2 linked regions of the Mus musculus genome follow. The protein of the gene in region 1 purifies or fractionates together with the protein of each later gene. This does not show direct contact. Links are inferred from orthologs where the notes say so. Each region holds a gene or a part of one and is shown in the gene's direction. Other genes may lie near its edges.

Region 1 (3,752 bases):
TTTTAATATAGGGAATTATATGAAATTGTGGGGTGGGCAGCGAGGTTAAAGGCAGAAATAGCCCAATGGTGGCACATTCACTGACACAGCCTAAAAGATTAGCAAATTACCCAGCCAACACATACAATTAATACAATTAATATTTTTATAGTTAAAACAGAGTTACTAAAGAAATTGTTTGAAAAGAAAATTATGAAGACTGGAAAGACGGCTCAGTGCTTAAGAGCTTTGGCTAGTCTTCCAGAGAACCAGGGTTCAATTCCCAGCACTCACAAAGGCAGCTTGTGAGCTGATACTATCTGTATATTCAGTCCTAGGGAATCTGATGCTTTGTCCTGACCTCCAAAACAGGCACAAATGTGGTGCACAGACAAATGTAGAGATAAGACTCCCATGCACAGAACATAAATAATGTAGTTTAATTTTTTAAATTGTAAAACTGAAAATGGTTGCACTTGCATTTTTATTTTCAGCACATCCCCAGATATCCGCCATATAACAAGAAAATGATGCCACACTCCCAAGAATTAAGAATTACACCTTCCCAACCCTACCCAAATGTGTATACTTCTAGGTCTAAAGAAATGCGAAGGATGAAGTTACTGCCTTGGTGCGGTTCTCAAGGAGGGAGGATGCCAAAAAAATATTTTTTCACAAAGTGTGCTGAGAAACTCTGTAGCTGTTGGAGTCATCTCCTGTGCTCTTGCCAAATAACTGAAAGGGGATACACTGGATGTCTGTGAATGGGGTGTCACTTATGAGTGCTAGAAGCGGGTGGTACCTGGATGTGGACACCGGTGTCTGAGTGGTCCGCACTCCATGTCTCCACAGGAGCGCTTATGTGTGTTTCTTTCCTCCTGCTTCTGGGTGTTCCTGGGTTTGTTTACAGCCACCTCTCTGTTGGACCAGGAGACAGCTGTCATCTCCAGAATGAGCGGGCGCGGGTGTGTCTCCGTGGCTGTGGCTGTGGTTCGGCATAAGTCTGAGCATGTCCTGGTCGTCAGGGTGCGTTTGTGCCTGTGTGTGCGTGTCCGGGTGAGCTTGCTCTTTCTGTTCCTAAAAGAAAACGCACCCTGCGCTACTGGCGTCCAGAGACCTCTCAGCCCGCACAGGTGACCTGAACGGACAGGTAGCACCTCCAGACAGCGCCTGGTTGGCGGGTTGCACAGCAGCCCTAGATTTCTCTCTCTGGTGCCCCAGCTAGGGTAGCTGGAAGGGAGCGGTGGCCTGGCCTCCGGGGAGCCGCTGGGCCCCGCCCGGGCTAACCCCAGGAGGAGGCGGGCTAGGCTGGGAGGGTTGGCCCTTGGTGCCTCGCCCCTCCGGGCATCCGGCCGTGCCATTGGCCCAAAGTTGTTGCACGTCACTGGGCAATTCCCCTAAAGTCTGGTGCACATAACGGGCAGGGCGCACTGCAAGGCTGCTTCTCAGGCATTCAGGCTGCGGCTGCAGGCACCGCGAGCCCGGAGCACCCACGAGCTGAGTGTGCAGGACGCACCCCAGCACAGCCACCTACGGCCGCTGAATGAAGCTTCCAGGAGTCCGCCCCCGGCCGGCTGCGCCCCGTCGGAGGTGCACCCGCTGAGAGCGCCTGGGCACCGAAAGCCGGTGCGCTCACCTGCTAACCTGCCAGCCATGGGGCCACACGGGAACGACAGCGACTTCTTGCTGGCACCCAACGGAAGCCGAGCGCCAGACCACGACGTCACTCAGGAACGGGACGAAGCGTGGGTTGTGGGCATGGCCATCCTCATGTCGGTTATCGTCCTGGCCATCGTGTTTGGCAACGTGCTGGTCATCACAGCCATTGCCAAGTTCGAGCGACTACAAACCGTCACCAACTACTTCATAATCTCCTTGGCGTGTGCTGATCTAGTCATGGGCCTAGCGGTGGTGCCGTTTGGGGCCAGTCACATCCTTATGAAAATGTGGAATTTTGGCAACTTCTGGTGCGAGTTCTGGACTTCCATTGATGTGTTGTGCGTCACAGCCAGCATCGAGACCCTGTGCGTGATTGCAGTGGATCGCTATGTTGCTATCACATCGCCCTTCAAGTACCAGAGCCTGCTGACCAAGAATAAGGCCCGAGTGGTCATCCTGATGGTATGGATTGTATCTGGCCTTACCTCCTTTTTGCCTATCCAGATGCACTGGTACCGTGCCACCCACAAGAAAGCTATCGATTGTTACACCGAGGAGACTTGCTGTGACTTCTTCACGAACCAGGCCTACGCCATCGCGTCCTCGATTGTGTCTTTCTACGTGCCCCTGGTGGTGATGGTCTTTGTCTATTCCCGGGTCTTCCAGGTGGCCAAAAGGCAGCTGCAGAAGATAGACAAATCTGAAGGAAGATTCCACGCCCAAAACCTCAGCCAGGTGGAGCAGGATGGGCGGAGCGGCCACGGACTCCGAAGGTCCTCCAAGTTCTGCTTGAAAGAGCACAAAGCCCTCAAGACTTTAGGCATCATCATGGGCACATTCACCCTCTGCTGGCTGCCCTTCTTCATTGTCAATATCGTGCACGTTATCAGGGACAACCTCATCCCTAAGGAAGTTTACATCCTCCTTAACTGGTTGGGCTACGTCAACTCTGCCTTCAATCCTCTTATCTACTGTCGGAGTCCAGATTTCAGGATTGCCTTTCAAGAGCTTCTGTGCCTTCGCAGGTCTTCTTCGAAAACCTATGGGAACGGCTACTCTAGCAATAGCAACGGCAGAACGGACTACACAGGGGAGCCAAACACTTGTCAGCTGGGGCAGGAGAGAGAACAGGAACTGCTGTGTGAGGATCCCCCAGGCATGGAAGGCTTTGTGAACTGTCAAGGTACTGTGCCTAGCCTTAGCGTTGACTCCCAAGGAAGGAACTGTAGTACAAATGACTCGCCACTGTAATACAGGCTTTCTACTCTCTAAGACCCCTCCTTGACAGGACACTAACCAGACTATTTAACTTGAGTGTAATAACTTTAGAATAAAATTGTATAGAGATTTGCAGAAGGGGAGGCACATCCTTCTGCCTTTTTTTAAATTTTATTTTATTTTTTAAGCTGCAAACAAGAGAGAGAAACTGTATTTGAGTGCTTATTGTTTTCTTGTATAGTTCAGTTCCTCTTTGTATGGAACTTAAAGGTTTCTGTCTGAAGAGTGTTGGTTCTGGAGGACTGAGTCTGTCTGTCTGTCTGTCTGGATGATGTTTTCATGTATCTACCTCACTGGTCAAGTATTAAGAATGATATATATTGCTGCTGGAAATCCATATCTAAAGGAGAGAGTTTTCTTCCTGTACCCTTGGACTTGAAATATCCTGTGTCTTGGACCTTTCTGCTGTGACAATGGGCCCTTTCTCTCTCACTCCACTTATTTACTCAAATGGAGTGTTGCAGGCAGGGATTTGAGGGACAACATCAGTTGTTTTGTTTTTGTTTTTGTTTTTGTTTTTTTGTTTGTTTGGTTCGTTTTTGGTTTGTTGTTGTTTTTTGGGGTTTTGTTTTTGTTTTTGTTTTTTTGGGTTTTTTTTTTTTTTTTGCTGAGAAAAGTCTAAAGTTTACAGTAAATAAATTGTTTAACCATGACTTCATTGCACCCGTTTCTTCAAAACCTCTTGACTCTGGAGTGTCCTTGTCTCTCCCACTGGAAACCACAGGTAAACTATGTGTCGTGACCGATGAGTGGCTTAATGTGTAAGAGTACCAGAATGGCATGCACCGTGCCTAGCCCTTCCGTGTGTGTCTTCGGAGCTCCAGATGCAAACCTGT
Region 2 (3,652 bases), on another chromosome or scaffold:
AGTGCACGTTGATATTGATGATTTAATGGCTTCTTTTGAACAAAGTGTTTTATGTGCATTGGTGTTTGCCTGCATGTCTGTCTGTGTGAGGGTATCAGTTCCCTGGATCTGGAGTAACAGACAGTTGTGAGCTGCCATGTGCATGCTGGGAATTGAACCAGGGTCTTCTGGAAGATCAGTCAGTACTCTTAACCTCTGAGCCATCTCTTCAGTCCCAATATTGATTACTTGAAATAATCACTCTTTGGCCCCCCACATTTTCCTAATATTAAGAGTGAAGGTTTTCAGGCTGGGTGTGATGCTTATATACTATGTCATGGCCCAGGCGTGGCCCACACCTTTAATCCTGGCTCTTAGCAACAGGAGGCAAGTGTCTCGCTGCCAGTTCGAGGCCAGCCTGGTCTACACAGTGAGTTCCAGGAAGGCCAGGGCTATGTAGAGTGACCCTGTCTCAGAAACAGAAACAAAATTATAAACAAACAAACAAGCATGCAAATAAAATAATGGTTTTAAACCCACGTGTAGTGGTAAGTGGTATATGCTGATATTATCAGTACTGAGGTGGGAGGACTATACATTTGAGCCTAGCCTGGGTTTTATAACAAGACGTTATTGTCTTCAAGGCAAAATAAAAAGAATAATAAGAATATATGAACTTGAGTTACAGATCTTGAAGAAGATTTGGATTCTACACTATGAGTTTTACTTAATATCTGCATATTATAAACATATTGTAGACATATTGTAGACAGTGGCACCTTACCTCATGCTGATTTTTTGTTTGTTTGTTTTTGGTTTTTCGAGACAGGGTTTCTCTGTGTAGCCCTGGCTGTTCTGAAACTCACTTTGTAGACCAGGCTAGACTCAAACTCCTAGAGATCCACCTGCCCCTGCCTCTTCTCTCCTGAGTGTGGGGATCAAAGGCGTGCGCCACCACTGCTCACTGATGCTCATTTTTAAAAAGCAGGACCTCCGTAGCTCAGGCTGGCCTTGAGCTTGGAATGGAGCTGAGGGTGACCTTGGTCTTCACAGTTTCCTGCTTTCACCTGCTGAGTACTGAGTATAGGTGTGTGCTGCCATGCTTGATCTGCGCAGTGCTGGGTGGGAGCTAAGGCACCACATAGCTAGTCCCTAATTCTTTTTTAATCAAAGTATTGTGTAGTGACTTAACTTTTAATTAGTGATATGTTGGTATACGTTAATTTTTTATACTAAGAGCTATTTTATTGTTTGATTATTTAGTGTATAAATATATAATATAACTCAGGAATATTGTTATTCTGATTCTTTCTTGACATTTTCTGAAAGATATTTTTGTGATCCATTTAAATATAATAAGTGTTTTGTAGATTTTTTTAGCTTTTCTTTTTTATCCTTAGGTTGAGGAATGGAGTAAAGTTTTGTAAAGTACAGAAGTTTCCTGAGGTATGACTTCATTGTTACTCGTTTATAAGCTGTTTAGGACTCACTGTGGGAGGTTGGGTTGAATATATAACACCATCTAACAGTGTGCTGAGCATTTCACCAGACAGCGCAGGGCTCTGCAAGTCTGAAGTTTACAGCTAGACAGCCGGTGGCATTGAGCTTTGGAAGAGCCATGCTCACTCTGCCACATGACAGATGTGTCTGGAATCAGGTCAGAATTCAGGGGGATATTTATGATTTAACTAATTCATAAACTCTAATTGAGAATATAAAATGGGCCAGGCATGGTGGCTATGCAAATTTCTGTGCATTCCAGGCCAGCCAGGTCTATATAGTAAGACTTAGTCTCTTTAAAATGGGGGGGGGGGAAAGCCCCCAGTCCCCCCAATTGAAATAACTATTTTAAAATAAACATTTAAATGAATGTAATTTTATATGAGAATGCCACATTTTCTTGTTTTTACAATAAAACTTGAGTGTACTTTGTTTCAACCACTACAATCTCTTCTAGTGAGTAATTTGGATGTTGAATTGTACTTCTTTTAGATTTTGTGTATCCACCTTAAAAGATTTCGACATGAACTGATGTTTTCCACCAAAATTAGCACCCATGTTTCCTTCCCCCTGGAAGGCCTCGATCTTCAGCCATTTCTTGCAAAGGACAGCCCAGCTCAGATTGTGACATATGATCTCCTGTCAGTCATCTGTCACCATGGGACTGCAAGTAGTGAGTACAATGGCTTGATATTTGTTTGTGATTAAAAAACATGTATCCAAGTTGATTGCTTAAATAAGCCCCACTTGACCAAAGGGAGAAAAATTTAAAAACAGGTTTCAGTGCTTATTATTAGAAAAACAGCAGACAACACAAAGTAATAACACACAGTTAGGAGAATACCTGTGTGTGGGGGCACGCACCTATTGTTCCGGTACTCAGGGGCCTGAGGCAGGAGGATTAGGAATTCCAGACCCCAAAAATGCCAGCTAGTTGAAACAGGTACCTGTAATACAGATTAGCAATCTAACTTAATCTTATTGGCAAACCTGAATGCCTGCCAAGTTCAAGGAGCCTGGGTAGCAGAGACTGTGAAATAAAAACGAGACTGTGAGATAAAAATCTCCCCGAGTTTAAGATATTTTATAACGTTGCATGAATTATTTGTGTGTGTGTATGGAATTACAATCTTCTAACCCATAAATTGTACAATTATTAAGTGTTAGAGGAAGCATTTCAGATGTTAAATTTTAAGACAGTAAATATTTTTCCGTAGACTATTTGGAATAATTGAAATTAAAGTTAGAAGGACAAATGGTAAAAACCATAACATGGCGAGTTTTGTTTTGTACAAGGCTTTTCAGAGCTGCATGACCTCAGGTGTGTGCGGCGGAACACTCTTGGGAAGCTGAGGTGGGAGGATTGTCAGTTCAAGACCAACCTGGGCTACAATAGTGAGATCTTTTCTCAAGACAAAAAGAAATGATTAAACTTGTGCTTCCTGTCTTACAGTGGTAGTGCTGAGAGTGCAGACTGAAATAATCAGAGCACAGACAACTGCTGTGACGTGTTTCAGCTGCTCTGCGGTCTGACACGTAGCACCGTAACACGCTTTTTCCTGCCTTACAGGTGGGCACTACATTGCCTACTGCCGAAACAATTTAAATAACCTGTGGTATGAGTTTGATGACCAGAGCGTCACTGAAGTTTCAGAGTCCACTGTACAGAATGCCGAGGCCTACGTCCTTTTCTACAGGTGACGGGGAACTGTCATGACCGTGGGAAGACTGTCTTCTTAAGGATTTGTGCTTCTGAGACTTTCGGGGCTTATGGGTGAAGATTAGAAGTGCTGTGCACGCTCATGAGTAAGAGAGAGAAGCTGTTTACAGAATGGTACTTTGTTCAGAAAATAGGACTTCATAGAGAAGCAAAGGGACATAGTGTGTTTTACATTGTTTTTGTTTGTTTTTAAGTACTTATTTTTAAATTTTTATTTATTTTATATGTATGGGTATTTTACATGTATGTATGTGTGTGCACCACATGTGTGCTTGGTGTCAGAGGAGGTCAGAAGAGGGCATCAGATCTCCTGGAACTGGAGTTATGGATAGTTGTGAGGCACCATGTAGGTTCTGGGAATCTAACCCAGTTCCTCCAAAGAACAGTAAGTATTCTTAACTGCTGAGCCATCTCTCCAGCCCTCATTTCTTTCTTTAACATGTATGTATGTGT

The links. Proteins that work in one complex are often made in the same cells at the same time.
Region 2: the proteins of Adrb2 (region 1) and Usp33 purify together in Homo sapiens (affinity purification with western blotting; 3 studies listed by BioGRID and IntAct, with this or other methods). This does not show direct contact. The link is inferred for Mus musculus from reciprocal best matches to the Homo sapiens genes ADRB2 and USP33.

Annotation. Positions count from the first base shown.
Region 1 is NC_000084.6:62,177,633-62,181,384, reverse strand, and holds Adrb2 (beta-2 adrenergic receptor), read left to right. Parts: upstream 1-1,403; 5' UTR 1,404-1,632; coding exon 1,633-2,889; 3' UTR 2,890-3,672; downstream 3,673-3,752. Other genes in the region: Gm9949 (uncharacterized protein LOC225609), read right to left, coding at 782-1,340. UniProt on the Homo sapiens protein: Beta-adrenergic receptors mediate the catecholamine-induced activation of adenylate cyclase through the action of G proteins. The beta-2-adrenergic receptor binds epinephrine with an approximately 30-fold greater affinity than it does norepinephrine.
Region 2 is NC_000069.6:152,377,465-152,381,116, forward strand, and holds part of Usp33 (ubiquitin carboxyl-terminal hydrolase 33), read left to right. Parts: intron 1-1,379; coding exon 1,380-1,425; intron 1,426-1,971; coding exon 1,972-2,152; intron 2,153-3,049; coding exon 3,050-3,176; intron 3,177-3,652. UniProt on the Homo sapiens protein: Deubiquitinating enzyme involved in various processes such as centrosome duplication, cellular migration and beta-2 adrenergic receptor/ADRB2 recycling.